Linked DNA regions of Neodiprion lecontei. The protein of the gene in region 4 purifies or fractionates together with the protein of the main gene of each other region. This does not show direct contact. Links are inferred from orthologs where the notes say so. Each region holds a gene or a part of one and is shown on either strand. Other genes may lie near its edges.

Evidence for each region.
Region 1: the proteins of transcriptional adapter 3-B (region 4) and transcriptional adapter 2-alpha purify together in Drosophila melanogaster (affinity purification with mass spectrometry; 5 studies listed by BioGRID, with this or other methods). This does not show direct contact. The link is inferred for Neodiprion lecontei from reciprocal best matches to the Drosophila melanogaster genes Ada3 and Ada2a.
Region 2: the proteins of transcriptional adapter 3-B (region 4) and molybdopterin synthase catalytic subunit purify together in Drosophila melanogaster (affinity purification with mass spectrometry; 3 studies listed by BioGRID). This does not show direct contact. The link is inferred for Neodiprion lecontei from reciprocal best matches to the Drosophila melanogaster genes Ada3 and Mocs2B.
Region 3: the proteins of transcriptional adapter 3-B (region 4) and DNA polymerase epsilon subunit 3 purify together in Drosophila melanogaster (affinity purification with mass spectrometry; 3 studies listed by BioGRID). This does not show direct contact. The link is inferred for Neodiprion lecontei from reciprocal best matches to the Drosophila melanogaster genes Ada3 and Chrac-14.

The regions. Positions count from the first base shown.
Region 1 is NC_060263.1:41,257,872-41,265,443, reverse strand, and holds transcriptional adapter 2-alpha, read right to left. Parts: upstream 5,069-7,572; 5' UTR 4,976-5,068; coding exon 4,912-4,975; intron 4,716-4,911; coding exon 3,337-4,715; 3' UTR 2,603-3,336; downstream 1-2,602. UniProt on the Drosophila melanogaster protein: Component of the histone acetyltransferase (HAT) complex ATAC; predominantly involved in acetylation of histone H4, including at Lys-6 (H4K5ac) and Lys-13 (H4K12ac).
Region 2 is NC_060263.1:10,687,606-10,695,420, forward strand, and holds the start of molybdopterin synthase catalytic subunit, read left to right. Parts: upstream 1-3,056; intron 3,057-4,797; 5' UTR 4,798-4,803; coding exon 4,804-4,944; intron 4,945-5,791; exon of another isoform or gene 5,792-5,952; coding exon of another isoform or gene 5,953-5,955; intron 5,956-6,509; coding exon 6,510-6,813; intron 6,814-7,457; coding exon 7,458-7,731; intron 7,732-7,815. Other genes in the region: molybdopterin synthase sulfur carrier subunit, read left to right, coding at 2,784-3,056. UniProt on the Drosophila melanogaster protein: Catalytic subunit of the molybdopterin synthase complex, a complex that catalyzes the conversion of precursor Z into molybdopterin.
Region 3 is NC_060261.1:6,078,707-6,086,256, forward strand, and holds DNA polymerase epsilon subunit 3, read right to left. Parts: upstream 4,417-7,550; 5' UTR 4,194-4,416; intron 4,007-4,193; coding exon 3,629-4,006; 3' UTR 2,355-3,628; downstream 1-2,354. Other genes in the region: E3 ubiquitin-protein ligase LRSAM1, read left to right, coding at 39-138, 221-464, 578-703, 822-1,016, 1,107-1,325, 1,411-1,536; gamma-soluble NSF attachment protein, read left to right, coding at 4,690-4,739, 4,862-4,929, 5,005-5,089, 5,298-5,315, 5,782-5,989, 6,079-6,327, 6,406-6,657, 6,783-6,917. UniProt on the Drosophila melanogaster protein: Accessory component of the DNA polymerase epsilon complex. Participates in DNA repair and in chromosomal DNA replication. Histone-like protein which promotes nucleosome sliding of ATP-dependent nucleosome remodeling complexes.
Region 4 is NC_060266.1:16,333,241-16,341,006, forward strand, and holds transcriptional adapter 3-B, read left to right. Parts: upstream 1-3,999; 5' UTR 4,000-4,401; coding exon 4,402-5,781; 3' UTR 5,782-6,352; downstream 6,353-7,766.

The DNA.
Region 1 (7,572 bases), on a different chromosome or scaffold from region 4:
GAAAAAAAAAACGAAAATGTGAGCTGTCACGAAAAACAATGAAAATTAAGTCGGTCCCGCCAAGAGGGAAGAGAGAGAGAGAGAGGGGGGGGGGGGGGGGATCAAATCGCTTCATTGTTACCATGATTATGAAGCGAAGCAATCTATAATCATCGTGCAGTATGTGTTACGTATAATTACAATGAATGGCAAAGTACTTTTGACTGCCATTGTCCACTGGTTGCTATTTTACGGTAACAACAGTTCAGTACTGACAAGTCGAGTGCCACTATTTAATACGATGCGAAACTGCGTTTCGTAAGCGAGGCAGCCACGAGAAGTCGTAAATCATATGGGTTTATGGCCCAATAAAATGATAAAGTAATAATGCCGTGAAGTACCGACTTCATCAAAACTGAATAATTATCACGTGAAAATGTGTTACAAAATCTCCTCATGGACAGAGATTATCCAGTGCCATAATCAGACATCGTTTCTGTCGTTATTGCCCGCACATCGTGCGGCGGCCAAGGCCCTCCAAATACTGCTGAACGCACGTCTCATATCCACTGGAGAAGTGCCCGTAGTAACACTGACCACGAATCTAACGAAGGCTACGAATTGATTATTGAGTCCATTGATATTGACATGCTCAACGGTTGTCACGTTCAAACCACTGCAGAACTTCCTTTACCCCCCATGTGGTTAAATTTGCTGTTGGAGGTTTAGTATCCAAATACCCGGTTTCGGGAAGAAAGAAAGAAAATAATAGACATCGAGCAGGGTACTATTTAACCAAGTGTGACTGATGATAACTTGATTGGTTGCAACGAAATCTCCCTTGTAAAACTAACCACAGAACTCTAAAACCCCAAATACGGGTAAGAAATAATGATGTCATTCGCATTACAACCCGCAAAAAAAAAACTGATGGACTGCGACTCCTGCCCCACACGATAATCATATGATCAAAAGGTGACAAAACTTGAACAATTAAAACGTTATTTCTAGGAAATTGATAGTTCATTCACAAGTGCAGGTATTCGCATTGTGAATTTGTATTGAGAGGCGAACTTGATAAGTGACGCGAAGAGGCACCCATTAGAGCACGTCGTGAAGAATCTTCGTCGCCTTCGAACGGTAACCAAGCGACCAAGCTATCATCATTGATCTTAATCGCAAATTATTTTGCAAAACCATGCTCGGAATGCAGACTGCCTTGCCGGCTGCCAGGTGAAAACCGGTGCTGGGCCGGTAGATAATCAGGCCGGAGGTGAAGTACACCGTACACCATACGTGCGTGTTGGATTCTGACCCCACTTTTAAACGGCAACGCGTAGTCGAGAGGGTCAGTGTACAACAGGCTGGGTAGACGTCGTTGGGCCGTTAAGGGTAATTATTGAGGGTATCGGACGCCATAGCGTTGTGGTTCCCTTCACAGAGAATAAAAATCCATACACGACATTTCGCAGAAACTAATGACAGCACAACCTTCATCCATGTCCATGATACGATAGAGATGGTCGTCTCTGTCGCATGTACAAGAATTTACAGTTATGCAGAATAAGAGCTGAAGAGGCTTAATAACTTTACACGAGATGTAACGCATGATTTTTCCAACAACGGAGAAGTCCGTAATGATATTATCTGCCGTTACATCACGCCAACTTACATCTTTCCTTCCAGAGCCCAAGAGCTGTTTACTCCGTAAAAGATAACGAAAAAAAGATGTTTCGGGTATGCAGAATTATAGGACGTTACTTTCGTCCGAAGCAGAACTACGTCTACTATTCGGAGTTAGTAGTTTCGCGATGTTGTGTTCAATAACCACCGCAATGATACGTTCTCAAAGTACCCTCAGAGTAGGGATACTGTCAATTATTTTGACATCCATGTTATCGTGCCAAGGAACGACTTTGGGCTGGGTTAAAAACGAGATGGAAGTTATGCGTGTTTTCAATATTTATAAACAGAGTACATTATAGGAATGAAAGTTGCATCTAGCATTTGTTCAACAATCAATATACAATCAATCGATGATCTCAGAGAACGTATGCCGCGATTTGAGATGGCCTGGTAAGTGGAATATAATTAATTGGGTGCGACGTAAAATGTCCGTCGGATTTGTAAGCAAACTGCATAGTTAGTACTGTAGTGATCTTTTGGTCTGAATGTCTTCCAGAATAGTTCTCATTTCGTCATCTTCCAAACGTCCTTCGAGACTTGGTATCAATGCTTTGGCCTCCTCAGGTGTTTCAGGGCAAAGATTCGCCAATGAAGCCAGTTCAAATTTATGGAGCTTCTTCTGCATCAGTAAACTGTAAAAACAATTAAACGCGTATTAGTAAACCAAATTGCACAGAATGTGAAACGAAATGAATCTCTTCTACTACTGCAATGAGCTCAATCTGCTGCACATACTTTCGAACCGCAGCGATAGTCTCCTTATTCCTGAACTTGCGAAATCGATTAGTGTACGTCAAACTCTTCATGAAAACCTCGGAGAACTCTTGTTCCTCTTCTGCGGATTCGTTCTGTGCCTTCCTGTGTTCCAGCAGCATGTAAACCTCAGATATCAACAGCGTCTCAGCATTTTCAAACTCTGTCAAATAACGAGTTATAGTATTGTAATAGATGTACGAAAAAAAAAATTATTTCGAGTTCCTCCTGGAAACAAATGCAGAGAGGTTTCTCTAATTGCAAGCTCATTCTGTGAAAAACGCGATCAAGTATTTCTTCAAAATTCGTTTCTTGCGTGTATTTTTCTTCTGCCAGCACGTAAAAAGTTTTTCACAGTAGGTTGAAATAGAATTAAATAATGACGCGAGGAATAAGGACGAATAAATGTTATTGTATGAACGTTCCATTCGTCTTCAAACCTTTCAGAATGTAAGAAGACGTGGATAAACAAATTCATCAGTTATTGGTTTGTTTTTGAATTTTAGTTTGGCATGGGTTGTTCGTCTGAATTAGTAGAATGGACTTTTTATTTTTAATGCCAACTCTATAGATGGTAAATGATTGAAATTTGTGAAATTTCAATCCTTTTTGTCGGTCATGTTAAAAATAACAGAATAGGAATACTGGAGGGTTCATTGAGAGTAAAATTGGCATAAATTCACAAAAATAGTAACATTTCTATTCGTATATAAAAGAACAAGCTAACAAAGGACTTAGACTTGAGTTTGTACATTGTAATAAATAATGAAGTCTTAGCCTATTTTAACCAACACATAATCATAAAAATTAATTCACTTGTCAAATGGGCTGTCACAAAGTGTTAATATCACAATGACATTGAAATGTCGAAAAATATTCACATATAACTGCGACGAATCAATTGACCAGTGACGTGTCTTACTGAGCAGGTTTATTGATGTATCCTTCTTCTGCCAAGAAATCATATATTTTTCGCGTCTTGTTAACATCAATCTTCAGAAGAACTCTGGCTTGAGCAAGCCTCAAGCTCCCACATTTTTTATTCTCTGTTATCAACAGGTTTTTGAAGTCAAAGTAGCTTTCAGGTATAACACGAGCATTTGAGCAAAGATCCCGTTCAGCCGGAGTAAGGCGGTCGTATCCAGGAAGCCCTTGAATAATAAGAGGCGGCGGTGCTTTACGTTGGGGAACATTTGGTGCAACATGAGGTGTAGTCTTTACAATGCAGCCAGGTAATACAGTCTGCCAGCAATATTCTGTATTACTCATATACTGCTTTCTCTCTTTTTCATGTTCCATGCGCAGCTTGGCCAACTTTTGAAACATCGGTACTGAGTGAAACCTTGTGATACCATTTCGGCGAAATTCAAATAATCTTCTAATGTAATTTCTTAGTTCACCAGCGTGGTGAAGACCCTCGATTATGTAATCAAAATCCATCCCACTGACAAGTTGCATGAATGTTAGTAATCTTTCGATCAAAGGTCTGGTAAGAGTCGATTCGTACCTTTGAAGCCATGATATGGTTCTACGAAACGAAATAAGCCCATGATTACGTACAATTTTTCTACGCCTTTGCCTTTCTTTGAGTCTGTGATTGTAGGCATTTACTATTGCAACTTGGAGGTTTTTTCCAAGCTCCAAATGCTTGTCGGCAGGACAGAATTCTTCATATTTTAAATCTGAGACTAACAATTCAGCATAATTGTCAAAATTTACTTCGAAATCTGATCTAGCTGCATTGTATCCGGCCAATAATTTGTAGTTTATCGTATTGCTGGCAAATCTTGGCGGGTCTTCAAGATCTTGAAGTTTGTAAAGGTACGGTACAGCCTCGGAGCCAAACAAGCTGACCTCGGTTTCTTTTATCTTCGGTAATCCAGGCAAATTTTGATTGTCTATGAAATTGTGCAGGTAATGCTTCCTGCACTCATCCGGCGACTTGTTCTGCAATCTCCTCGATATATCGTCCCAATTGCCGAATCCACACTCTTGCAAGACATCCAAAAGTTCGAGTTCCTCTTTGGCGGACCAATTGGAACCGGGTATAAGTGGGAATTCGTTTTTTATTATAATGTAATTGTGGTTATTTTTATGTTCCTCAATTTCGGCACCGTTTGAAAAACAGTTGGGACATATCTCTATGTTCAAACACTCGGCGCACTTTATGTATGGCTCGTACAGTGTCGATTTACACACACAACACGCGGGGTCAGAAGTAAGGATTTCTTCCTTCACGACTGATACCTCGAGATCGACGTCGTGTTCCGACTCATTTGCAAAACTCGACGGACAGTCTGAAAGTAAGAAAACCGTTACTCGAGACCTTTGTTCAAGGATGACTGAATTAGTTGCTTAAAACGGTATTTTTTTTCCATATACCATTCAATGCTTTCAAGCCCCATCGTTTTAGGTTATGTCTGCGACGTGAAATTGTTCGCGAAATTATAAAAGTAGCCGCTAATTTCAAAGAAAATTTTACAATTTTCTCACCTTTTGGAAACTGGAGGTCTGCCGCATCCTCTTCAGTCATATCCGTTACATTTGTATTAGCCATTTCTTATGTTTTTTTGAGAAATAACAACGAACTACTTTGCACGGGTAACGCTGTTTACACACAATGCACAATTGCGTGACCGTCGATAAGCGTTGGAAGGAGTTGACTGATCTTCTCACAGATAGCAGCACTTAACGAAAAGCGTGTTTTTTGCCTGTCAAAACGTTACTTCGTCCATCAGATTATCGACGAAGTTAGCAACGAATTCGTCAGGCAGATTCTACCGTACCGATGGAATTCAACAGTCGAATTGAATCGAATATTTGAATATCGCATAATTTGAATTACATTCGAATGGTGCGAAGATTCGAATTGTTTGAAAGATTTAAGTATTCGGAATATTCACATTATGGGACTCCAATTATTCACATACCCTCAACAAAACTTCTTGGCAAGTGTCTGACAACAATGGTGTCTATGAAATTACCAGTATATCTATGAAGGAAGAAAAAAATTATTAATGAAATTTCATAACTTTTCCGAAATCAACAATTTTTCCACGAATAAAGAATCTTATACAGCGATTTGGTTTCGCGCCTTGATAATGAAACTGGAACAAAGGCAGGCGAAGCCTTGACCAAAATGCATCGAAATTATTATTCTGCGTAGGTCGATGTTCATGTATAATAGTCGGACATATTATACATGCAAACGAGTATTTTTTAGCATAATGAATATCTGAGATGAACGGATATAAAATTATGCTTACCACAAGAATTTACGGTGTATAGTATACCTCATAGCTCGCATCGGTAATATTTTGGCAAATTTTGGTTCCAGTTCAGCGAAAGATTTTCTTTCTTAAATTCCATGGGACGCAATGTATTCCTTATAATATATATTTATCCATGAAACGCGTAAAGTCTATGCAACGGTTGTACGGCCTATAAATACTACATAAAATGTAGAATGGCCTGAGGTCACGCTGTGTGTCGACAGAATATTCGATAAAATGATTCGGCAACTGAATAATTAATTCCAGCATGCTAAGCCAATTACCATATTCCAATTTGTTCGTGAAACTCGAATCAAGCTCGCACGAACTCAATAAATTGCTGTCTAATATACTCACATTGTACGATTGTACAATGCAAACATTCTAGTGCAGAATTATTTCAGAGGAATTTTCGAAAGCGGCATAGTAGTTTCTAATCTTGTGGTGCGAAAATTGTCGGTTGGATTTAAAAGTTTGATGTAAAATATCGTAGAACGGCTGAATAGTGGGATGTACAGTTATGCAATAATTATTCGTAAAAAATTTTACAACAGCCAGAAAATTTTATTGCCGAAATGAAATAAACATGCCGGCGATTTCAGTTTTGCAATAAAACAGTTGCGAATACGCAACCACCATCATCCAGCAACATTTCACGTCAAATAAAATGATACAAAGGATATTTTAACCAAGATTTAGAGTCGTAACTGCGTGTCTGAAAACTGCATTTATCCATCAAAATTCGCCATGTGTCTAGCAAAAACTTCTTTTAGTTCGGTTATAATCTTTACTCGATATTCATCTCATGTGAAAAAAACAAAGAGTCGATTATAACGTGATCCAGGTTTTGCGGATGCAGCATTCGTACATCGTGTCGTGGACATACATATTCTTACGATTAGACGTCCTACAAGTATGCCGTACGTGCCTCGAAATTCGAGGTTGTATATTTTATAATTGTAGTTGCCTTTGTGCTTGCCTCGAATGTCAGATAACGTATCTGCAGGGAAAGAATTCGGTAGCACGAGTGACAATGTCGAGAATTAAGACTTCATTTATAGGGTGATCAAAAGGAGCAGAAAAATGATGCGGTTAAATAATCTTCAAATCCGACCGATTCGCCACATCCACCTCAGGTGCGTGAATCACACGAATCTCCAAAAAAATATCTTATTCCAGCTGCATGGCATGTTTTTAATAAATATTGCGTTTTCAAGTGTGCCGAAACCAAAAATGACTTCCATTTCCCTCCAACGCGTACAATATTTTTGCTTGCAAAATAAAAGATGTTCGCGTAAAGAAAGCATAACAATAACGAAAAAACCGCCATTTCATTGCAATGAACTAAAGAATATTTCTCATGAAATTAAACAAACAATTTTTTTATCAAATGTACTCAACATTCCGTGTTCATACATTTTGCTTACGAAACCATTTCTTCTTCTCTTTGATACACCTCCGAACGAGCTTCCGCTTTCCATTTTCTATTTCCCTGCTTGTATTTATTCTTGAGTCTCACTCTGATACATATTAAATGAAAGTAAGAAATCACTTTTGCATAAGATTTTTGGAATCAAGAACAGGATACCAGATTTCGAGTTGAACGGAATATTCACTCCGAATGAAACTACAAACACGAGTTGGAGAAAAAACCTGACGTGATGGAACCTTTTGAGTATTTTTCCCGGTTTCAGTGAGTGAAAATCAATAAGAAATGAATAAAGAATCTGTGCAGTTTTTTGGTTTCAGACCTATGTTACACTTCGGATTCACTACCTTTACGACTTGACGACTCTTCTCTTCTTTACACTGTTATACGCATCGAATTCTTCGTGTCATAAAATACAGGCTCCAAATTGGATTGAATCAAACGGTAAACATC
Region 2 (7,815 bases), on a different chromosome or scaffold from region 4:
AATGTTCAGCAATTACCACCAATCGCTTGCCGTATTCTGGCATTAGCGCATAATGGCAGCCGGGCGGCGGAGGGGGGCATCCGGATTCTCGTATCGATACATTACCATGAACGAAACTAACAAGCAGGAGAAGCTACCTAGCCCGTAACGGGGGAAAGGGATTTATTTTTGGGCCGTTGCATTTCGCAACCCGTATCGCCGCGATGTCGCTTTTAACCGAATGGCGCCTCTCCTGCCGAACAAGCCGCTAAACTCGCGTTATCTAAACATTTCTTCCGCGGACTTGCGATAAGTGTCGCTTATCGCAGCGCACGTAGGCGAACGGTTCATACTGAAATTTGAGCTCACATTTACCCTGGGTTGCTTTGTACTGGCTGTTGCCTACGTGACATCGCCGGGTGCCGAGCTTTTGGCATAGTGTCGGAAGCACGGTAATGTACGGGAAGAAAGCTTTGGGTAACCAAACCGTATTTAGGTCAAGCAAAAATCCATATTTCGTTGAATTTTATCAACGCATGTATGCGCTGTGTACATGCTACTTGTCAGCGATTATACGAGCGGGAAAGCTTGTATCCGCGAGCATGTGTCCTCTCTATGTGGCGGGTGGCCCGTCGTGTGTTCATCTCATCGCGACGAAAACAAAAATGTAGTAGGTGACGATATCATGTGCAATCATTCTTGAGTGCGAGACGTGTGCGTTTCACATAGAGCCGGCCTAAGTTCACGGGGTATACGCGCTTTGATTTTTCACGTCTTCATTTCGAAGCGCACTTGGATTTGATTAAATCCATGAATTGGAAGAAGACAAGTCTCGTAAGATTCGTACGCCGAAAAACGGTTACTTTCACAGAATATTTCCTGCGTCTATCGCGCTTATGCTCAATTTTCCCACAAAATATGACCCTGCCTGAGGTATGTATGCACGTACATGCCGGCATATCGTGCGATTTCAAACGCATATGACGATTATCGTGGTGCGGTGCTCATTCTGCAGACAGGATCGACAGGGATAAGGTTTAGTTGGGCATGTGTAACATATGTTTCATCCATATCCAATCGTGCAGTGAGGCGGTATAGGTAACATTCTCTTTCACAACTTGCAAGAAGCAAGTACCTTGTTACACCGTGTATACCTATTACAGCAACGTTGTCCTTGCCCCACAGCAACTTGCACATTCTTTCCTAGCTCCGGATTACCAGTATTCTCGATCCACCCATATCTATACTTAACTATGAGCACATTGTATTGCACGCGTACGCCTGCATACATTTGAATACTTACCCAAGGCCATCGCATGCTAACGCTATACACAGAGATACTAGCCTAGCTAGTCCATAGCTAGTCACCGTAGACGTTGTGTATTAGCTTTGAAACAGTGACGGTACGTATGAAATTGCCGTGCTACCATATGCCCTTGATCGATCATTTTGTACAGTGTAGCTACTATAGCTGTAATGTTAATTGACAAGAATCGAGTCGAAATGGAATAAATAGAACGTAATTCCGTATGAAATATTTTTCAGATTGTATGTCGTACAAGTATTTATTTTTATTGTATAGAATAGAACTAGAAAGAATATGATTGCACCAACATCTTGCACAAGGCTACTGCGTCTTTAAACTATACCACTACTTACGAGTTACTACCATAGTGCCACTCTCAGCTTTGTCCGTGATAGTTGTTCAATCATAGGTTTTTTTCTGGACACATACGCAGTGCGCCTTTTGCTTTCTGTATTTTACAATTTGAAGTCAACACCTATACTTTCATACCGTACATAATTATTTCCCAAGTATCATGACAGAACTGGTATAGTTCAAATAAGCAATTGAATATTCCATTTAGATTTCAGCGTAGCTTTGTATACAAGTATCACGAGCGCTTCAGCTTTGAAATAATTCCCATATTTCTACCAGACAACTTGCACGCTCATTTTCCTCCAAATGGAGGTTCTTCGATAAGATAATACATAGGCGATATTAATTTGACTGCGATGTCACCAGATGTGAGGATGCCGATGAATGCATGATAAAATATGCGTAGATAGGTATACCTATGCATATATATTTTATATAGATATATATAAATGTATATATATATATATATATATATATATATATACATATATATGGTTCCGTTACTTTTAACAGTACAGTTCCTGCTTTCGCATTCTAACTGGATTTCAGGCAGGTAGATAGGTATCTATTTTTCGTGCAATAATAAGGGCCCACGCCTGGCCGTTTTGTGCGACCATACTTCCCGTGACCTCATTCCGCCTTTGACCTGATTATCAAAAGTGCATTCGGTTTGGTCTAGTGAGGCGCCAGCTAACAGGTGTTACGTCATCACCACGGGCGTCAGCCTAGCAACAATTTTAAGGTCCAAGAATTGTCGAGCAGCTTGTCAATAAAAACAGAAATTTTTGCAACAGCAATAAATTGGTATGTATGGAGGAGATAACAGTAGAATTATACGTCAATTTGACGACTGATGAAGAAAGGCTGATTAATCACAGTTCTCCTTTTCGGCACGTTTCCGGTATCAGCGTTTTTCGACCGTACCGTACGCAAACATAACCTCGTTATGCTTCGTTACCAACTTTCCACCGATCTATTGTTCCGGGAAAATATTTCTTACGTAACGAGATAGTATTGGCTAATACCAATCGAGTAAACAGTGAACAATAACAATGCATGTGTTGAAAACATGTGTGGTGCGATAAAGGTCTATGCAAGTGCCAAGCAGAGCCAGTCGCTGTCGCCACTCTGTCGCCCATAGTTTATGATGGATGGAGAATCACGAGATTCGCTGGTAAAAATTCTCTTTTTCGCCAAGGCTCGCGAGTTGTCCGGCCTGAAAGAGTCTCGGGCTAAGCTGCCGGCTAACATCTCTTACCAATCTTTGTTGGATACAATTATTGAGAAATTTGGTCTCGAAAGTATTCGCGATTCTGTTATCTTATCTCTCAACGAAGAATACCTTGCAGCCAACGGAACGCTTAACCTATCCGACCAGGACGAAATTGCTGTTATTCCCCCGCTCAGTGGAGGTTAGTTTATCAAACATATTAACATTTATTTCAATTTATTTACATTTAATCATAATAATGATCAAACTACTTTGACTGCTCAGCGAAAAAATGAGAACTACGTAATTACAAAAGGTATACGTTTCTTCCTGACTGTTTTCGCACAAATCTTCTATCATGGGCATCTTTCGGAACCTTATTTCATTCAAGTAGTGAAATATGTTTTTCCGCCACATTCATAATAATACTATGCCGCAACGAGCGGCTGTACCATTCTCTATAGGGTCGAAGTTATGTTTCAGGATTGGGCAGTTGCCAGTATCAGTATCTTATCCTCGTATTGTACAATGCTGATGAAAATCGACATGAATACCATAATCATTTCCAGCTTTATCGCCGAAGGCAAGGAATATGAGGGTACCTAGAAGAACGTTTGTATTATTACATCCAACATTCAACAGCTTATTACAAAGTCTACTGGAATTTATGTGCCTTTAATTTTTAATTACCATGACAGCTCTAAACACAAGAGTATTGAAAAACCCAAGTTTGAAGAAAATAAACTGTAATTGGCTTAGCCATACGCCGTTTAATGTTGGATCACCACAAACTGCCAGAAACAGGCTCAACAATATGGATGTTCTTCCAGGAAACACAATATTCATTGATAAAATGTTGCACATAATTAACACAATTTTCGGAGAAAAGATTATTTAAACTCATTTCCCAGTATGTGTTACTTATCCAAAAATCTGAATTCGGCTCTTTTGTTCATAGCTTATAAAGTCTAGCTAAAGTCTAGACCATTCTTATGGAGGAGCAAAGCGTAGTAATAATGCCGAAGTTAGTAACCTTTATGTAACCAAACATTGCGGGGAGAAATTGTTATTTTGCAAGGTTATAGTGAGTTTGAAGTAGTTAGGTTTTCAAAATATGAAAAAGAATACAGTTTGCCTCATTATGATTTACTAAATTTCAGAGATTCCTGCAGCTGAGAAATAGCAATTTTTTAAAACGTTAATCATTGTAATAATATTATTAACTTCAGCCTCAAGCCTAGTAAAAGGAAACTTATTGGAACTGAATCTTGTCATTGGTTCTTGAGATATTGTTCGCGCTATTTTCAAATAATAGTTCTTGATTACAAAAAAGGAGTTTTTTTTCAGGGTTTTTCAGTATTTATGATATTTCAAATTTCTTAATAATGATCCAGCCTTTTAGCAAAGTATTCTTGGAAAATTTATGAGCTCAAAGTTTGCAAAGCTAAGATGAAGGAAAATTTTTTTTAAATCATGATTTTGGAACTTTAGTATGACTGAAAGAGTTACGTTTGCAAAATTTCATATTTATGCTCTGCTTTTATTTGAGTCAACTACTGTATTATGGACAACTATAAAGTTGCTAAATAATGATCAGACGGAAAAAATTCATCATTACGTTAATGTTACAAAGTTCAGCTTTACGATTATTTTAATTACTTACGATATTAACGTAAACGATTTAAATATCACCTTCAGTTTACTCTTGAATCTACAATGAGTTGCATTCACGAAGATTTGACATGCAGGGTCTGCTTTGATTCTTTAATCATTATCAAGAATTTCGATTTGTTTTCAAATTATTCAGTAAGAATTTCGGCCTTGACTTTAGAATTGTACTTATAATCGTGATTGTTCTCTGTTTTTAATACTTTTGGTTTCTTTGTTATGCTGTAAATTCCAATAGTCATTTTTGGGAATATATTCACAATCACAGTCTTTGTTGCAGGTTAAGATGAATGACTCAAAAGATGTCATTAAGCTGCAGACGGAACAGTTGAATATAGGAGGCATAATTAATCTGGTAGTTGCAGCAAATTGTGGAGCAATATCCACTTTCATTGGTACAACTCGGGACAATTTTGAAGGAAAGAAGGTACACAATTACTTGTACTCTAAGAAATTTAGAAGTTGTCACTGCATATGTAAAAAGGAATATCAATCATTCCATTTATTTGGTCATAATTTTTCTGACAATCGAACTGTGAAATCTAATTAATTTTGTTATAATGTTGATAAAGCAGACAAGTATCTATATTATTATTAGTATCCCTATTAATATAATTTCGGGAAAATACGCTACAAGTGATTTTATACTATCTCGTATTAATTGTGTCTGGATTTACATATCGGTTTTGCAGACTTTAGTTAATATTTCACGACCAGCGATGCCACTACGTTTTTTTACCGATATTTGGCCTTTGGCGGGGGGGCATGCGTATGTCTAACAATGAGACAATTTTATACAATGAAATAAAGGTTTGATCCTAATAGTATACATAGGAGTAGATCAGAATTCTTCAATCTTAAAGTTGAGGAGTCTGGAAATAGAAGGACTTCGAAATGACATGTGTCAATGACATTATGTAAATGTGGAACCTGGAACATTAGGAAATCAGAAACAAAATTATTTCTCTTATACAAAAATTACTATTCAGTATTCAAATCTCTTTATTCATTTGAACGAAGTTAGATACAAGTTAACAGGTATATATCAGATATTGTATCAATTTATGCAGCATGAAAGCCAAGTGTATGAAAAAGTAATCAAGTTGCGTTTTTCAAACAAATACAGTACAAATTCATATAAATCGAGTCGTTTAATTCAAGACAGATCTGAAGAATTTTAACTTTGGTTACTCTAATTTATTTTTTAACTAAAATTTTTTTTTAAAATGCGCGTAAAATGTGTTTGAAAAAAATTTCTATGTTCCAAAATCCAGGGCAGGGATTTCCATGCCATAAAAATGTCGAGGTCTGGTTTATACCATCCATGCTGGCAATGACGCCACTGTTCATGATGCTACAATTTCTTGGAAAGGAGTACTGACTCCTTCAGCTGATCAGAGTGGGGCGCACAGCGCCGCGGTTTTAGAGAATTGAAATGGTGTGTGAAGCGACCCTAATTCATATAAAATTTCGCAGAAAGTATTACCATAAAACATCAGAGAATTTGATAGAAAATCTGGAAATGAGGCTGTATTGATGGCATTTTTTGAATAACGTGTTCACTATTACAACTAATTTTTTCTACCCAGTGCTTAGTTATCCCGCTATTATAGTTGTGGGAAAATTTAAAAAACATATGTGACTTTTGGAAGAATACAGTTTTTTACCACCTACCTCAAACTTCTGTAATCGAGTGGAAAAGGAAATCATTATTCCAGTAAATTTTGAAACATCAGTTTATTAGAAAATTGAAGATTTCAAACAACTTTTTTACTCATGAAAATCGGTTGCCAGATTTTAGCAATAATACTGCCACATTAGTTCACTTATGAAATATTCTCTCGTAGTCTGCAAGTTACCCACAATTCATGGTTGTTGCAAGTTTGAAAAACTAGAAATTCATCAATGAGTTGCGCAGTTTTATTAGAATTTTCGTAATGTCTTTTATCAGAATAGTAAGACTGTTGCAAGATGCATTTTTTTCTGTGGCAGGTCGTTAAGTTGGAGTACGAGGCATACCAGTCAATGGCGTTGAAAGAATTGGAGAATGTATGCTCAAAGATTCGTTCTCAATGGGATGTTGAACGCATAGCAATTTACCACCGCCTAGGGGTCGTATCTGTGACTGAGGCCAGCGTTGTCATAGCTATTTCTTCGTCTCACAGACAAGAGAGTCTTCAAGCTACGCAGTTTGCTATTGACATGCTGAAAAGTACTGTACCTATTTGGAAGAAGGAAATCTATGATAACCACAAGTCACAATGGAAAGAAAACAAAGAATGCTCTTGGTCCACCAGTAAATAATTTTTTACATACTGTACTATTATCGTGACAAGATACCACTACATTTATGCCAAAGTCGATGAATGCTGAGAATGTAATAGTTTTTAAGTGTCAAGTAGCGAGGTTGAAGTTAGTAACGTTATCGTAACGAAATGTTGAGAAGTAATCACTTTTTTTATTTTTACACTGATTATGAAGGAACTAGGATTGCAAAATATGAATATATTCCTATTTATTACGTTTTACTGAGGAACTAATTGCTAGGATAATTTTACTCACTTCAACATGATGTCAAGTATATAAATTAGAGTGGTCATAATTCTTTGCATATATCGAGAAAATTTCATGAAATGGATCCTTTCAAGCTACTCGATGTGGCTCCCATGACCATTGTCAGTTCGTCTTCGCTTGAATATGACAATTCGCTTTATGCAAATATTATTTGCATAAAGTTGAAACTTTGTGAGGACTTTTTGCGTTTTATTTTTCAATATTGATTCATTGTGATCTGTATATTTCAACATTAATAAAATTCGTTTTTATCATTATATGTATGAAAAGAGGCTGCATAATTTTTTTTTTTCGTTCGTACAGGTCTGTTTACCATTCATAAAACTGCGTTGAGTTTTGTTTTAAACGAGAGACTTCTGTTGACAGGTCGAGATGAAACTTTATTAGCATGTGCAAACGTTGTGAGTGCTAATGATTTGCTGTTACAAAACAATCACAAAATCTTCCCGAGTGGTACGAATCAAGATGAAAATGAAGACAGAATGACAGAGAAGAGAGAATCATTTGATGTACCAGTTAATTCAAATCTTGTACAAATCCGTGTTAGTACTGATGAGCTGAATCGTAGAATAAATGCATTCATTGCAAGAAAACGAGAGCAAAACAATATTGTCAATGTACAAGAGTTCTGCAGTCACAGGTTCGTTGATATATAAGAGGTATTTTATTTCTAGCAGACCTCTTTTTTGAGCATAGTCATAGAATTTGGCGCTTATCTGGGATT
Region 3 (7,550 bases), on a different chromosome or scaffold from region 4:
TTGACATGAAATAAAATTCCTATATATTATTTTTTCAGGCGCTATGGAAGAGTTGCTGGGACAGGAACTGCTAACTGAACAAAAACTTGAAGAGTATACCAAATTCCGTGATTATACCGCCCAATCTTTACTGGGCTTGTAAGCATTGAAAAGAAAAACTGATTATCATCTTCAGACTATTTAATTTCACGAGACTATTAATTTCTAAATTTCATTACAGAGAAGTAAGAAACAATGATCACTTAACGCAGATAGTACAAGATCAAGAAAGAACAAGGCAAGATTTAGTAATCAGTCTGCGTAAAGATGAAGCACTACAAAAGGCTGCTGTCACTGCGTTACTTGAACGCAGTGATACACGCTCCTGGAGTATCGTGCAACAAGTTAATCTTGTTCAAGCGCAGCTTGCGAATCTCACCGCCATTGAGTTGGAAAAACGAAAATTAGAAACAAACCAGCAGATCGTAAGAAATTCAATTACTGCAATCATCCGTGAAAATTTATCTAGATTATTGCAACTCCTATGACATACAAAAGCAAATATCCAATTAATCATATTTGAAACTTTCTCTTTCAGAATGATATCGCTGACAAAAGGGTGACCTTGAGTATCATTCTTATGGACTTGTTACAGCAGCAGGAAAATCGGAGACAACAGCTAATAGAAACCATTAATCAAATTGCGCAACAGCAACATACAGATGTAATATATTTAATATCTTCTTCCACATTTGAAACTTTTCAAGTTTTGAGCATAGATTTGTGCGGTAATTGTGGTATCGAGCAAAAATAACTGAACATTTACGTTTTTACTATTAAAGAGTTCAAGAAGAGGCAGCCAATTCTGGCTAATGCAATACCAATCACTCATGGAAACCAGGCCTCAAGGCTTACTGGAGACACTGGAGCCAATGTTAGTCAGACATTTAGCTATTGCAGGAGTGATGCATTGTCTCCCATTTTTGAGTACAATACAGTCACTTTTGCCACATATTACTCATGAGGATCTAATAGAGGTGAGGACATAAAATTATCAAAGAAAATGGAAAACTATGAATCGAAATCAACTTCAAAAACTGAATAATTTGGCAATTGTTTTTTCACAGGTTGGAATCAAGAGCGCAAATGATCGAACAGCAATCATATTAGCTACAGAAAATTATCTAGCAGAGAAAAAGCTGCATGCTAGCGAGCATTTACACGAGATACCATCTGTCGTACCGTCTGCTCCAGAAGACGAAGTTGGCACAAGTTCTAAGATGGATAAAAACGAAGATTCACAGGGCATAAATTCCACGGAATGTGTTATCTGCCTCGACATGGCTGTGAGTTTCATAATATTCAGTTTCAAAATTGAAAATTTAACATGTTTCCTTGTAATGCGACAACCTGTTTCATTGCATATTTCAGTGTCAAGTTATTTTCCTTCCCTGCGGACACATGTGCTGTTGCACAGAATGTGCGAATAAAGTAGCAACGGAGTGTCCAATGTGTCGCAGTGTTGTTGAGCGTAGAATAAGAGTTTTAACAACATGATCACAGCGATATGTTCTACAAAACTCGCACAACATTTGAAGAATGTTTTAATTAGTCAGACGATTTGGTGAACTGCAAAGTGTGAAAGAAAACAACGCCATACCCCTGTTTTGTATTATGAAGACATAAAAGTTGGTTTGTAAAAATATTCTATCTTTTATTTTAAAATATCTATTGTGTTATGGTTGATGCAAGTAGATCCTTGGATAAAATTTTCATACTTGCATCACTATACAGACTAGACTTAATGTGCGAAGCTCAAGAGAACATGATGTTTCCAAGAAAATCATTGCATATTTATCCAGTATTTAAAAATAGTGTGAACATCTCAGAAAGCCAATGATAAAAATGCTTGGATAATATCTTGTTATTTCTACAGCTTTCTTTGTGTACTGAAATAGAGACAGAATTGAATGTGCAAGACAAACAATTTTTATTATAAAAACCATTGATATTTTTCATGGTGATGTATATTTCATTCTCAAGTTAAGTATCAAAATATTGGACAAGTTTCAACCAAAATCTATGATTCAAGTTGATGAGCACTTATCGAAAATGCAAATCATAAATATCTATGTATAATATTTATATACATTTGATATAGAATTTTTAATGTCTATTTGCTTATAAATTTTTCTATCAAAATTACATTTCTCAAAGAACGATATTAAAGAATTTAAATGTCCTTAAAAGTTTCTAAACTACTGTTAAAATATGAATAGTAAAGCCAAGTATGAATACAATTACTAATGCAGGATATGAAAATGATCCGAAATTATTCTAAACTACGAGTAATGGTAAATTTTTGCTAAATAACATTTAAGTGGTACTACTCGTTAAGAATGCCTAACTATTGGAAGGCGATGCTATATATATATACATCGCAGTTAATTCAGATGAAAAATTCTTTGATTACTAGAAATAATTAGAATTCGTTCAATTTTAATAAACAGCGCTGATCAAGAAAGGACGGCTTGAGTAGTCAATAATTTTATGCTAGTCTTTCTTTGCCTGTTTTGTAAACATAAAGTGCCATATATACACATACAATTAATTCTTACATATAAGATATTATTGCGATGTGTTTACCTATGTAAAGTAAGTAAACGGAACTGAGATATAAGCTAGGCATAAGATATAACTTTATAATATAGTGAAGGAGAAAACACAAAGTAAACCAATATTACAGAGCGAAATATGGATTCGATAGGCATGTCTCTAATTGATTAGACTTGCTACTATTGTTAAACAGAATACTAAACACTGTTCGTAGTGAAATGAAAAATTCCATTAATTTAGCATAGAATGTTCGAATTGTAGTCATTTCCTATACTGCACATTCTGCACTTGATTTAAAAATCCACATAGAAAGAACATTGCTAATCTTTCTTATTCTCATACGGAGTTTTAGAACATGCGGAGTAAATGTTTTTTAACCCTATAGTCTATACCTACCATTACTGTAAGCTCGCAAGATTGTTCAATTATTGATCTAATGATATTGAATGAAAAAAAAAAAGAAAACTACATATATATGTATATATATATTACTATGTATATTATTATGTACCCATTGAGATACACACTTTTACGAACGATTTCTGCATAAATATTATGTAATCTATTTACTCTCACACCAATATTGTCTTATATACAATTAATAAAATTTTCTGAGACTGTTTGCATATTGTTCGTCATACAATTCAATGCCACAAACTATTGAATTCGTGATACAATTCAAAAAAGCGGAAGCCTGGTGACTCACCAAAACTTTGTCAGAATAGTATGCAACCCTTCCATCACACGACCCACTTGTACAAAATGTATTGCAGTAATGATTTTGTAAAAGCACAGGTGTCACATTAACGATTCATAATAATGTCAATTTGGAAAAGGAGAAAGTAATAAAACATAAGTAGATACTTCGAGGGGAAAAATAATAATAATAATCAGGATTTGAGTGAAAAAAAAAAATATTCTTATATTATTCAATATAAATTGTGGTTTACACACAGCCTATACATATACTTAAGTTAAAAATCCGATGTATTAAATAGTGTGTGAATGTAAAAAATGCAAAAAAAAGTAGAAGCTACTCAGCGTCTTCGCAAACGATTTCTTCCACTTCTTCGTCATCTTTCTTCTGTTGTTTTCTCTTTGTAGTCGCATCCTTTTTTTCCTTTTGTGACTTTTTGAAATTTTCCAATGCCTCTTGGAGCGGTTCAAGAAATTGGTCAAACTCAATTTCTTCAATAGCTTGAATAACGTCAGTACCACTGATAGTTTTTCTTTTTCCTTTTTTAGCGATTGTATTGGCAGTTGACGTAATGTACAATATAAAAATCGAAGCAGCTTTTGCGACCGCCGCTCGTGCTTCCTTGCCAATATTGACTCCGTCCGGCAGAGATTCCTTAATTATTCTTGTTACAACAGCATTAGGGAGATTCAAGTCTTCTAATCTCTCAGCCATCTATTGAGGTGAAGCATTATTCGTTAATTCGCGAAGAGAGAATTTCAAAATTATATTGTCGTGAAATATTAAAACACGTTTTACAATGGCAGAAAAGTCGTCGAAAAAAGTGAGAGAAATTTTGAGGTTATAAAAACTACGATACCGAGAATTTAGACAACGTGATGAGAAAAATTGATGTACTTACCTTTAGCTTTTACGATTGAATGATTTTCAACGGAAGGTAAATAAAAAGTAGAATATCAGCAAGTGGTGACGTTTCAATTGAGTTTTACTTCGTTTTCGCCGATATTTCAATCAGATTTTATAAGTAATTATTGTATCACCGAGGGACGCGACTGTGAATTTGAAAATCAAATATAAACATGTCGTGTATTCGCTCCATAAACTTCATTCGCGGTAGGGTGATGTTTTTTATTTTATTTTTTTTTTTCCATCATGCGATCCTGAGACGCCATCTACAGGATTTTACAAAGTACCATATTTTCGTCTAGTTTTCGTGACTCATTGTCAGGACATTTGCAAATGAGTTTACGAACACGCCCAAGGTTTCTGCTTCGTAGTACGGAATACGTCGTCTGCATTTCACGGATTGAATTGATTTGACACAAGAAAATTTGACAGTAATATTTTTGCGGAAAAACAAAGTGATTTTACAAACGTGAGCCAACATTTTGAGAAAAATGTCGAAAATGGAGGAAGGAATGGCCCACATTCGGCAGGCCGAAAAAAGGTGAGATTTTTTTCTTAGTACATCAATCCAAATTAGAAAAGAATTTGATCATTTTAATTCCCTAACCAGTAAAAACGTACCATTAATTTAGATCATAATAATTTATTAATTTTCTCCCCTAGTTTAAAAACGTCACTTTTAAAGTGGAGACCTGATTTTGAAATCGCTGCTGATGAATACTCCCATGCGGGTAAATATACCATGCGATAATATATTTGCGCGCCTCATTACTGTCAATATTTAATCTTCTCCTTCCACTCAACAGCCACCTGTTTTCGAAATGCAAAAGCTTTTCAACAGTGCAAGGAATGCCTAATGAAGGCTTCAGACTGTCACAAACAGAACAGATCGTATCCTTTCAGACATCGATCGGTGTTTTTTGAATTTTCATGGTTTACTTTTTTATTAACGATGAATTCTATACATAATTTTCTTATGTCGAAATCGAAAGTTCTTGAATCAGTATAAAACATGCAGATCATGCGTCATAGTTTTCATCTGTTTCGACGAAACAATTTTTTCTCTGGTTTATAGTTAAATCCTTAATTAGTTTAATAGATGGTTTCACGCTGCAAAGTAAGTATGGCCAATTGACTCAAAGACTCAAGCAGACTTTAAAACTTGGAAAACGATGCTTGGTTTATAGAAACTGAACATACGGTATTTTATCAAGTGGATGAAAAAAAGCGAAAATGAAAAATATTTTCCAAATACAGAATGATAAAAACCAATGTATGCAAATCAACATTGTTTTTGTTTCAAACAATTATCTCAAGTGTTAAAATAATTTACCGAACCATATTCGTTTTAATTTGATCCAGATCTAGATCAAACCTAGATCAGATCTAGTCTTAGCATTCTTTGCCATGGCTATGATTTTACTCCCAAATTGTACGAAATTGATATAAAACAAATATCCGTTTTCATAAGTATAAAAGGCTTTCTAAAAATAGTTTGCATAAGCACCTTCAAAAAAAAAAAATGTTGAGCATACAAATAGTGGTTTCATAAACTAAATAAAGTGACTAAAAATGTTGTGTAGGAGTATGGAACAGGCACTTCTAGTGTGCAAGGAATTAGGAAATTTAACCGAAGTACCGAAATTGGCACATTCTGCATGTTCGTTATATCAGCAACACGGCTCACCTGAATCAGGTGCTTCGGTACTGGATAAAGCAGCTAAATTATTGGAAGCTACTGAACCCGCACAAGCTCTGGAGTTGTACAAGCGTGCAGCTGATGTTGTTATGGTATAAGAAATAATTTCATAATGACAAAAAGCCTGATAGTATTTCCAGCGTTAGAGATTAAAAAATAATACGGCTATAAAATGTTACAGAGTGAAGACAGTCCGAGACAAGCGGCTGAATACATGAGCAAAGTAGCTAGAATTCTAGTAAAACTAAAAATGTACGATCAAGCTGCAGACGCGATTCGTAGGGAGATTGGAATGCATCAACAGATAGATCACACTCCGTCTGTAGGACGACTAGCGGTAGCACTAGTATTGGTTCAACTCGCCAGAGGGGATCAAGTGGCAGCAGAAAAGGCGTTCAAAGAATGGGGAAACTACTGCGACGTTCCCGAGGCAAGTAGACTAAAGGAATCGTTATTAATTAAGGCATGTAAAGGACGTATAATAATGTAAAATTGGCATTTTCCACAGGTACAAACTCTGGAAATGCTACTACAGGCCTACGACAACGAGGATGCAGATTCTGCAAGGTCAGCATTGAACAGTCCTTTCATCAAACACATGGATGTAGAATACGCCAAATTAGCAAGAGGGCTTCCTCTGCCGCAAGTAGAATATGCAGTTCCACCGGCTGGTGTTCGACCAAATGCCGCAGCTTCTTACATATCCCCAAATGCTACCAAACTTACTAGCCAAGCGACGGTTGAGGCTGAAGTTAATCAGGTAATAGTCGCTGGGCTCGAGTTACATTTTGTGAACAGCTGTTGAGTACAACTCTCGATGTGTTCATCTGAAGTAAGGTTTATCACCATAAATTGTTAAAGACGATATATTCTTTTTTGCAACAGGAAGACAATGCTGCAGACGTTGCTAGTGGACAAGTCGGTCAAGGCAATCCAAAAGCAAATCCGATCATAGAGCCAAAAGAAAGTTCAACAAAAGAAGAAGAGCCGGAAGATGAGTATGAAGGGGGACTTTGCTGATTTGTTAAATTTTGACTGACGCTATTGTTTAAGTATAAGAATCCGTAGTAACATAAAGTAACTGTCGATAGGTGGTTATTGTTTGTGAATTATTAGCTACTCAATATCTTCCGCTTTACTCTGCATTTATATTTACTACTATCCAAATAGTGTATAAACTGTTGCATTGACGTTTGCATCTATTACCTATGATTCAAATAGCGCCAATGGTGCAATACTCGTATGCAGAGATAAATTTGTACAACGATATGTTGATTATTGTAGATGCCTGGCAAAAATACAAATATTTCTGTCGCGCACGTGATTTAAATAATATGCACAGAAAAATTATGCAACTTACATTTTGCAGTAAGATTTTCTCCATTATCCTTGAAATTTTAAATGCGAATATTTCTTAAACAGTTGTTTCAAATTTTTGTTAGTAGTCTATTTTGTTTAAATAGTCTTAATGTATCGATAATGATGAAGCGCGAACTTTCATCCATGATCGGCGAGACATTTAAATATTCCAATTACATGAGAAAGAAATCATAGTGAAAGATTTTTACTATGCAAGATGATTGAAAATCTGGACATTTGCCTACAGTTATGCCAATCAGAGGATTTGATTAGAAACCGTTTTGCCGGAGTGAT
Region 4 (7,766 bases):
CCTTCAACGGCGGATGTGTGATAGAAAAGAAAAAGATGGTACATAAATAACGACATTAAAGTTAGTAGCGTTACCGTAAGGAAACATTGAACGAAAATATCACTATTTCTTATTTTTACGATGATTTTGAAGGAACTAAGATTGCAAAACATGAGTGTCTTTTGTTTTATTACGGTTTACTGAATTTCAAACAGTTCCAAAATCGCGAAATAACGGTTTTTCGTCAGCACGAATAGTTACGATAACGTTACTAACTACAACATATTCATAATAGTATCGCAGAATCCGTGGTAAAATTAGACGTTCATTTACCAGCGAATTTCAGCCGGGTTTTTGCCGATTATCGATTTATATCACATGCGGGTGAAATGATAATGGTAGCCGCATAATAACCGCGAGTTGTTGTTTAAAGATACGGGGAAAGTGCGCAAGATAAACTTGTAAACGAAGAGCAGCCATTTTATTATCACTACTCCGTCGTATCGTCGTCGTCGTCGTCGTGCGTGTTTTGTTTACTTACTGTGGCTTGCCTCGGCGGCCGAGACGAGAAATAATTAATGAAAAATGGAAGTAGAGCTCACCTCGAACTGCCAGTGAGCAGCCTGCAGTAACTGTTTCGCCTGTTCCCTGGCGCACCCGGCGGCCAGAACGAACTGATTAATCATCACCTGTTCCCTTAGAGCGTCCATTTTAACGCGAAACCTTTTTGTTATCACCTTTCGCCTCGTGACTTCTGTAACAACTACGAATGCTTCTTGACCGTAAATTACTGTCCGATTTCCCAAGCTGTTTAGATAATTCGAACTATGACGACACCGCTGTTCTCTTTATGTTATATCCGTATTGTTATTGTTTTTTGTTTTGTTACACGGGTTCTATTAACCGCGGCAGCAATCTGCACCCACCCTACCAACTAAAGGCGGGCTAGCCATAAGCCAAATACACAAACAACTTATTTTCAAAACTACTCATCCCTGACGAAAGCAGAACGATCCGACGTTGACGTCACAATTCTTGCTTACATTAACGTGCCTGCGACAAAGTCGTCTGTTTGGAGCCGTCACGTTGGGCGAACTCCCTCCCCGCGACTTTTAACAATCAGATGAATCCCCACCAAGTCGCGACATTTGTTGTTATTTTGATTATGATGGCGTTGGCCCGAATCTTGCTCTATACAGAGAGAAACCTGAGAGGGCCCACGGAACGAAGAGCCTGGGACAGGCTGGTGAAGCTCGGTTCCGTCGGATCTGTGTGTCCGTTGCGTGAACTAAATTCTCGGCGGGTAAGCGATGGACGCAGATAACGAAGCATGCTCTGTATTATCTGCTCCACCGCTTAGCTCTCTGTTATGCTAACCCATAGATGTAAGCTCGCACGCATGCGTCTTACAGAGTGAAACCGCGGTATTCCTCGGCCACTCTGCCGCTTTTTGCAAAGATTCAGTTGCTTAATATTACAGAAGTGCAATTTCGGATCTTGCTTCGTAAACGGATGCAATACTCTACATGTGATACTTATTCAATTAATTATTATAGTACTACAAACAAATCCAGTATTATAAAAATAAATAAATATTAGTATTATAAATAAATAATAAACGAATCATTAATTACTCTCTTTCTCCCCCCTCCCTTCCACTTACAAATGAAACAAAAATTTCTTCATTTATATTTTTATAGAAAATATAATTTAGCGAGCAGGTAAACAATTATGTACGATCAAACATGTTGAGCGTGGCAAACGTGTCAAACGTGTCAAACCAAATTTAAAGAATGTTTTTCTTTTTATCACTCACGATAATCTTATTTCTTGACCACCTGCTTTTATACAATTATAAATTACGCGTATGCACATCTTTAATTATTGCTGGAATAAATGTAGTTATAATTAAAAGTTGGCCAATTCATTCGTCCATTTGTTGAAATTGTGTGTGTGGAAATCTGTTTAATATATTCGACTTTTTTTCAATTATTTTTCAAGCAATACATTATTTGTTAACCATACAGTTAAAGAACGCATTTATGTAGCTATTATTCGCGCTCGATCTTTGGAATTTTTTCACAAATTCTTGACAACAGACAGACAATGCTGTTTCACTCGCTCTCGTTCATTATCACACCCGCCTTTTCGTCTCTACACGCCCTCCCAATGTTTCATTTGGCATATGCATCTTATTTTCATCTATCGTTGAATCACCATTTTTTTCTCTGCACCTCTATATTCTAGGTATCATGGTATTTAACATAATCCATGGCAACTCACCATCATATTTGAAAGAGTTATCTTCTCTCCAAAATCAAACGAACCATACTTCCCGACAGCAAAAAACTCATTATTTCCACTTACCTCTACCCCGCACGCCTACCTATCGCGATTCATTTTTTCTTTCTGCCATGCATTTTTGGCACTCTCTCCCTGCCGAAGTAGCAACTTCTCCCTCACTTCCAATTCTAAAGGTTCGACTGCACAACTACCTCTTTGCTATAGATAGGGTTACGGTTTAGCTATTTTTAATCAAAATTTTAACGTTTTGGCTATTTTAATTTTAATTTTAATTTTAATTTTAATTTTAATTTTAATTTTAATTTTGATTTTAATTTTAATTTTAACTATCATCACATTGTATCTATCCACAATCCTTTGATCTTTATTCATCTTTATTTTAATTGCGTCCTTATTTTTATTTTTATTTTTATTTTTATTTTCGGCACATTATTTCATACTCTTTATCTCGTGTCCTCTTGTAGATGTATATTACTATTAAATAATTCTATTACCATTATATCAACTTTATTACTATTATTGAATATTTTTTATATTTCTTTTTTATACTTATACCAACTATTGTTATTTTGATATCCTTGAAAAACTTATTTCTGATTTACACTGAATAATTTTATGTACTTTCATAATTCGCCTCATGGTACTACCAAGGCATAATAAAGGTTGAATCAATCAATCAATCTCTCTCTCTCTCTCTCTCTCTCTCTTATGCTTTTTCCTTCATAGATCAAAGAAGCTGATGAATACGGTACAATAATTGTACTTAACGAACAAATGCGTAAGAAAATTCGTACGTAAAATGCCGAACACATCATGATTTTGTTGCCGCAGAACGGAATGGCCTGTTGGCAGAGAAAAAAAAATAAGGAAGAAAATAATGAAAACGGTTTATTCATTTTTCGTTACTCGTAATTGAATATTCCAATACGTTTGATAATAGCGATACGGGTAACGCGTGGTATGCGACGACGGAGAGACGGGCCAAGTCTCGAGCGCGAGAGCTGCGATTGGACTTGTGCATGTATTCGGTGACTCGTTACAGCGCCGTATTCGGTCGTTACACAAGTTTTCTCACAAGCTTTTCAAATTTTTCAGCTTTTGGCTAAGCTTGTATTAAAATAAAAAATTGAAAAAATTGTTTTTATATATTTTGTTATATATGGGTGTTTTTTTAATTTTTAGAAGTTTGAGAAAAAAAATATAACAAAGTTAAAAATTGATAAGTTAATAAACAATGGAATTGTTGATAAAAAAAATTTTTTTTTTTACTTCATGGAGGACTGTCCATTATGATTTTTAGATAAAAAATAATTTCGCAACTAATTATTTAAACAATAGAATTCTAAAAAAAACGAATATAAACAAGTAAAAATTGTTGTTAAGAAAAAAATTTTTTTTTTAAATCGTAATATTTATAATATAATAAAGTTGTGAAATAAAATTTTGAAAAAATATTCAAATGATCAATTTGTTTGTAAAAAATTTATGTTCCTTGTTCCTCAAGGAAGGACTATGAATACTTGCTTACGTACATACTTACGAATATTTTATTGCGAATTGGTTCCACATGTGTAATACTGCTTAATAAGTAGTTCTGTTATTGACGGAAGATATTGTTTTAAATGTGTAACAAACACTTGTTGCAGTAGTTCGATTTGAAGTTGTCATCTCTCAAGATGGCGATTTCCGCTATCCCGCCAATGACGGCACTTGGTAAGTCAGATGACAGGTTAGTTTGTGTCCTAGGTTGTGTGGGTTGTGTGACATCGTTTGCGAAATGGTGTTGATAGTGAAATATCATTAAACAATTGGGTACATGATTGGCATGATAATTTCAAACGTACCTTGGATAAAACTAATCGTCAGATCAGACGACCTTTCGTACGTACCTGATTTGTTCGCTTTTCCATAGTAAGTGGACACAAAGGAAAAACAGAACCTAACCTCCAAGATTGCTTATTGGACACTTACGGTGAATAATAATAACTAATACAGTCGGTGAAAATCACAAAAATTACTGATAACTTAAACTTACTGCAATCCAGCTTATTGGTTGTATTTTTATAACGGTCGAACGTTAACTGAACATACCCACAGAGAAGACAGAGAGAAACCGTAATGTCAGGTAAAGGTAAACAGAGTTCAAAGAAGGCGCTGATAAAGGTGCGCGAGGGAGGTAAATCCGGACATCTGTCTTCTGTAAACTCTGACACAAGTTCGGAGAGCACAGAGGCTGCAGTTTCTCTGCCTGTTCTAAAGACGGTTGACAATGGAAAACATTTGCCAAGGTACTGTAGCATTCTGCAGCGTTCGGCGGAGGAATGTGTCGGGATGGAAGATTTGGATACGCTACAACTCGAGCTGGAAACATTGCTTTCATCCGTTGTAGTTCGATGCCGATTACTGCAAGATGAGATAACAAACTTGTCGTCGGCGGAAGAACGTAGAGACAAAAGGTCAAAGAGTGTAAAAGGCCTGTCGACACTTGACAAAAAAATTCGCGAGGATAAATCCAAGCTCAAGGACTTTAGCTCGAAGGCGCAGTCTCCGCTTCCGGCCAAACTGTTTAAGCAAAAAACTTCTGGGGGATTAGCTTCTCAAGTTGTCCCGAATCCTCACGAATTGAACAGAATCGATGGGAGTAAATCTGATCTCCCTAAATTACTTTTGCCCAAAAACGATACTCCCAATAAGTTCTGGGCTTCGGTCGATCCTTACTGCACCGATATCATGCCGGAGGACTTAAAGCTGCTGGAGGAATTGGTCGCTTCTCATAGCGATCAGAGCGAGTTGAAGAAAATCCCGCCGCTCGGTCGTCATTATAGTCTGCTGTGGGCGCATAATGATTTATTGCAGGAGGAAGATGCGGCTAATCCAAACAGGGATAAAAAGAAAAATCGGTCCGACGTTTCGCTCCTTGTTTCGAAGGTTGATAAGAAGGGAAATAGCATCGCAGGACCTTTGACCCAAAGATTAGTTTCAGCTCTGTTGGAAGAGAATGTATATGTAGCTAATAATAATATGGATAATAAATTGTTTAGGGATGGCGATCCTCCTGTGCTTAGAGACTTGTCTATACAAAATTCAATGAATTTGGAATTGAGGATGCACAAGGAGCTGGTAGAGCAAGGTATACTTGAGGCTGATACTCCGAAAAAGAATCAAGATGATGAAATTCTTGCAGAAATAAAACGATGCCAACAAGAACTGTCCGCTTTGTCCAATCATAATGTGACACAGTTGAAACGACTGCTTCAATTGGCGCAAGAGGAGAGCAAACGACAGGCTGTGAAACGTAAAATAAGCATTGTCGACAACGAAGTCGTTGAACATTACAAAAAATTGATACTAGCTAAACAGAGAAAAGTGTCTATGACTAAAAAAGAACAGGAGAAGGCTTGGAGCTGCCTGAGAGAGCGTGAAAACTTACTTGAACATTTGAATATACTGTCAAGCGGCAGTGACACTGTCATCAACTCAAGAAATAACACGGCTTGATCTCTCAATGGTCGTCATACAAGCCAATGCGTATATGCGACATAACATTGCGTTGTAGAATAGCAGTTCTGATTAGTTAATCTCATTTGAGTCATATTTTTATGTTTATCATGTTTAATATTTTGAATTATTGTACTTTTCGTTACGATTACAATGTTAAAATGAATGATGTGACAATTACTTTACAGCTTACATTGCTCTATTTACTTGTACAGATTACAATATTATAATTCTGGTAGTAATTTATACAGTTACACATCTAAGTTAATTTGTTCTTTTGATTACTTTTTTATGTGGTGCCTGATACAATTGAGTGATTTATGAATGTAGTAACAGGATAAATTGACCGTCAGGGGAAAATAATGAAATGGGAAAGATGTATTAACATATAATCTATATTTTAATATATTATTTTTAAATACATATTCGAGAATTTTCAATCTTACGTATCATCTGGAATAATAGTAACGATAATGCTATTCGTAACAATGATAATGATTATAATTATAGGGAATGTTCAACAAATGAAATATCGTGAAAATGTAAACAAGTCGTAATAATAGAAAAATATATGTATATGTATGTATATAATATATACAATATATATATATATATATATATATATAATATTATATATATTATATATATGTATCAAGATATAAACAAAAAAACAGTTAATCCAACGACAACAAAATTATACAATATCACAAATAAATTAAATGAATAATGAATCCATTCAAGTTGAATCATAATTGTGGTGCAAGTGGTAACAATTTAATAACAAAAGGTATCTTCAAATATCTTTGTTTCGAGCGAGTAATATTATTTGTTTACGCATACTATTATCATTTATTAATCAAGTTATATCATAAGTCACGGTAAAGAGATATAACACGTACAGAATGATTCAGAAAAATGTTACCTGCAACTAATTGGAAAGAGTGATTATTTTTCTCTAACAAAAAAAAAAAATAAAAAATCTCACGAAATTACTATTCAAACCCTTCATCATTTCAGAATTCTTCTCCATGAATAATTTTTTTACTTCTCTCTTTTTGCACGTTCCCAAGTTTCATTTCACCTACATATTATATGGTTCTTATTAATTGTACCAACACTAACATGTTTTTTGAGCCAACTCGTATTTCTTCATCATTTGTTCATTCAATTTTTATTACAGAATGATTATATGTTATGCCTGAATATTTGTTATAATAACGCTCTAGTTGATCTTCTCTTTAATTTACTTATAAAGATTATTTATGGTTTGTCTTTTTGGTTTGGGCCCCATGCAACCGTTACAGTCAGAACATATTAGTTTATTTTTATTTATTTAATTTTTTTACTTTTAGATAACGTACGTTTACTTTTCTACATTCTATAGAAAATACAAGTTTCACTTTGGATATTTTGTTCAAAACTTTTTCAAATTAGTTTCAGAAATATTGGATGCTGCTCTTTATTTTATTACTCATGTTTTGAAATCTAGTTGTAAATTGCTTCGTTTTTTCCTTTTTTCCGGAATGTTTATCTTTTATATGTATATCAGGGGGCCTAAGTCGAATAGAGAAACTTTTCTATTATTTAGCGACCTGACACGTATCGACCTTGCTCTTTCTTCATAGGTACTTTGTTCACTTATTTTTTCTTAGCCCATATCGTTAAGATTCTACATCAATGAATGTATATATTTATGTAAATGACTGTATGTTTAACAGAGTGAGTCAGATTAAACACGATATAATTGGAACGGTACAGTTTCGCCTACCTATACAGTTTAGTTTGAATTGTGATGAAAACTTTCGATTTTTAATTATAAATAATACTAGATTAACAATTGATTTCCAATCACAAGAAAAAAGAAACGAAGGACGAAAGATTCTACGTGTAATAGTGTAGAAAATTAAATATGTGTGGATAAAAATTAATAATCCGTACTTGAGCTGCCGCTTTTTTTTAAATTCGAAAAATTGTCCCTGGTATAT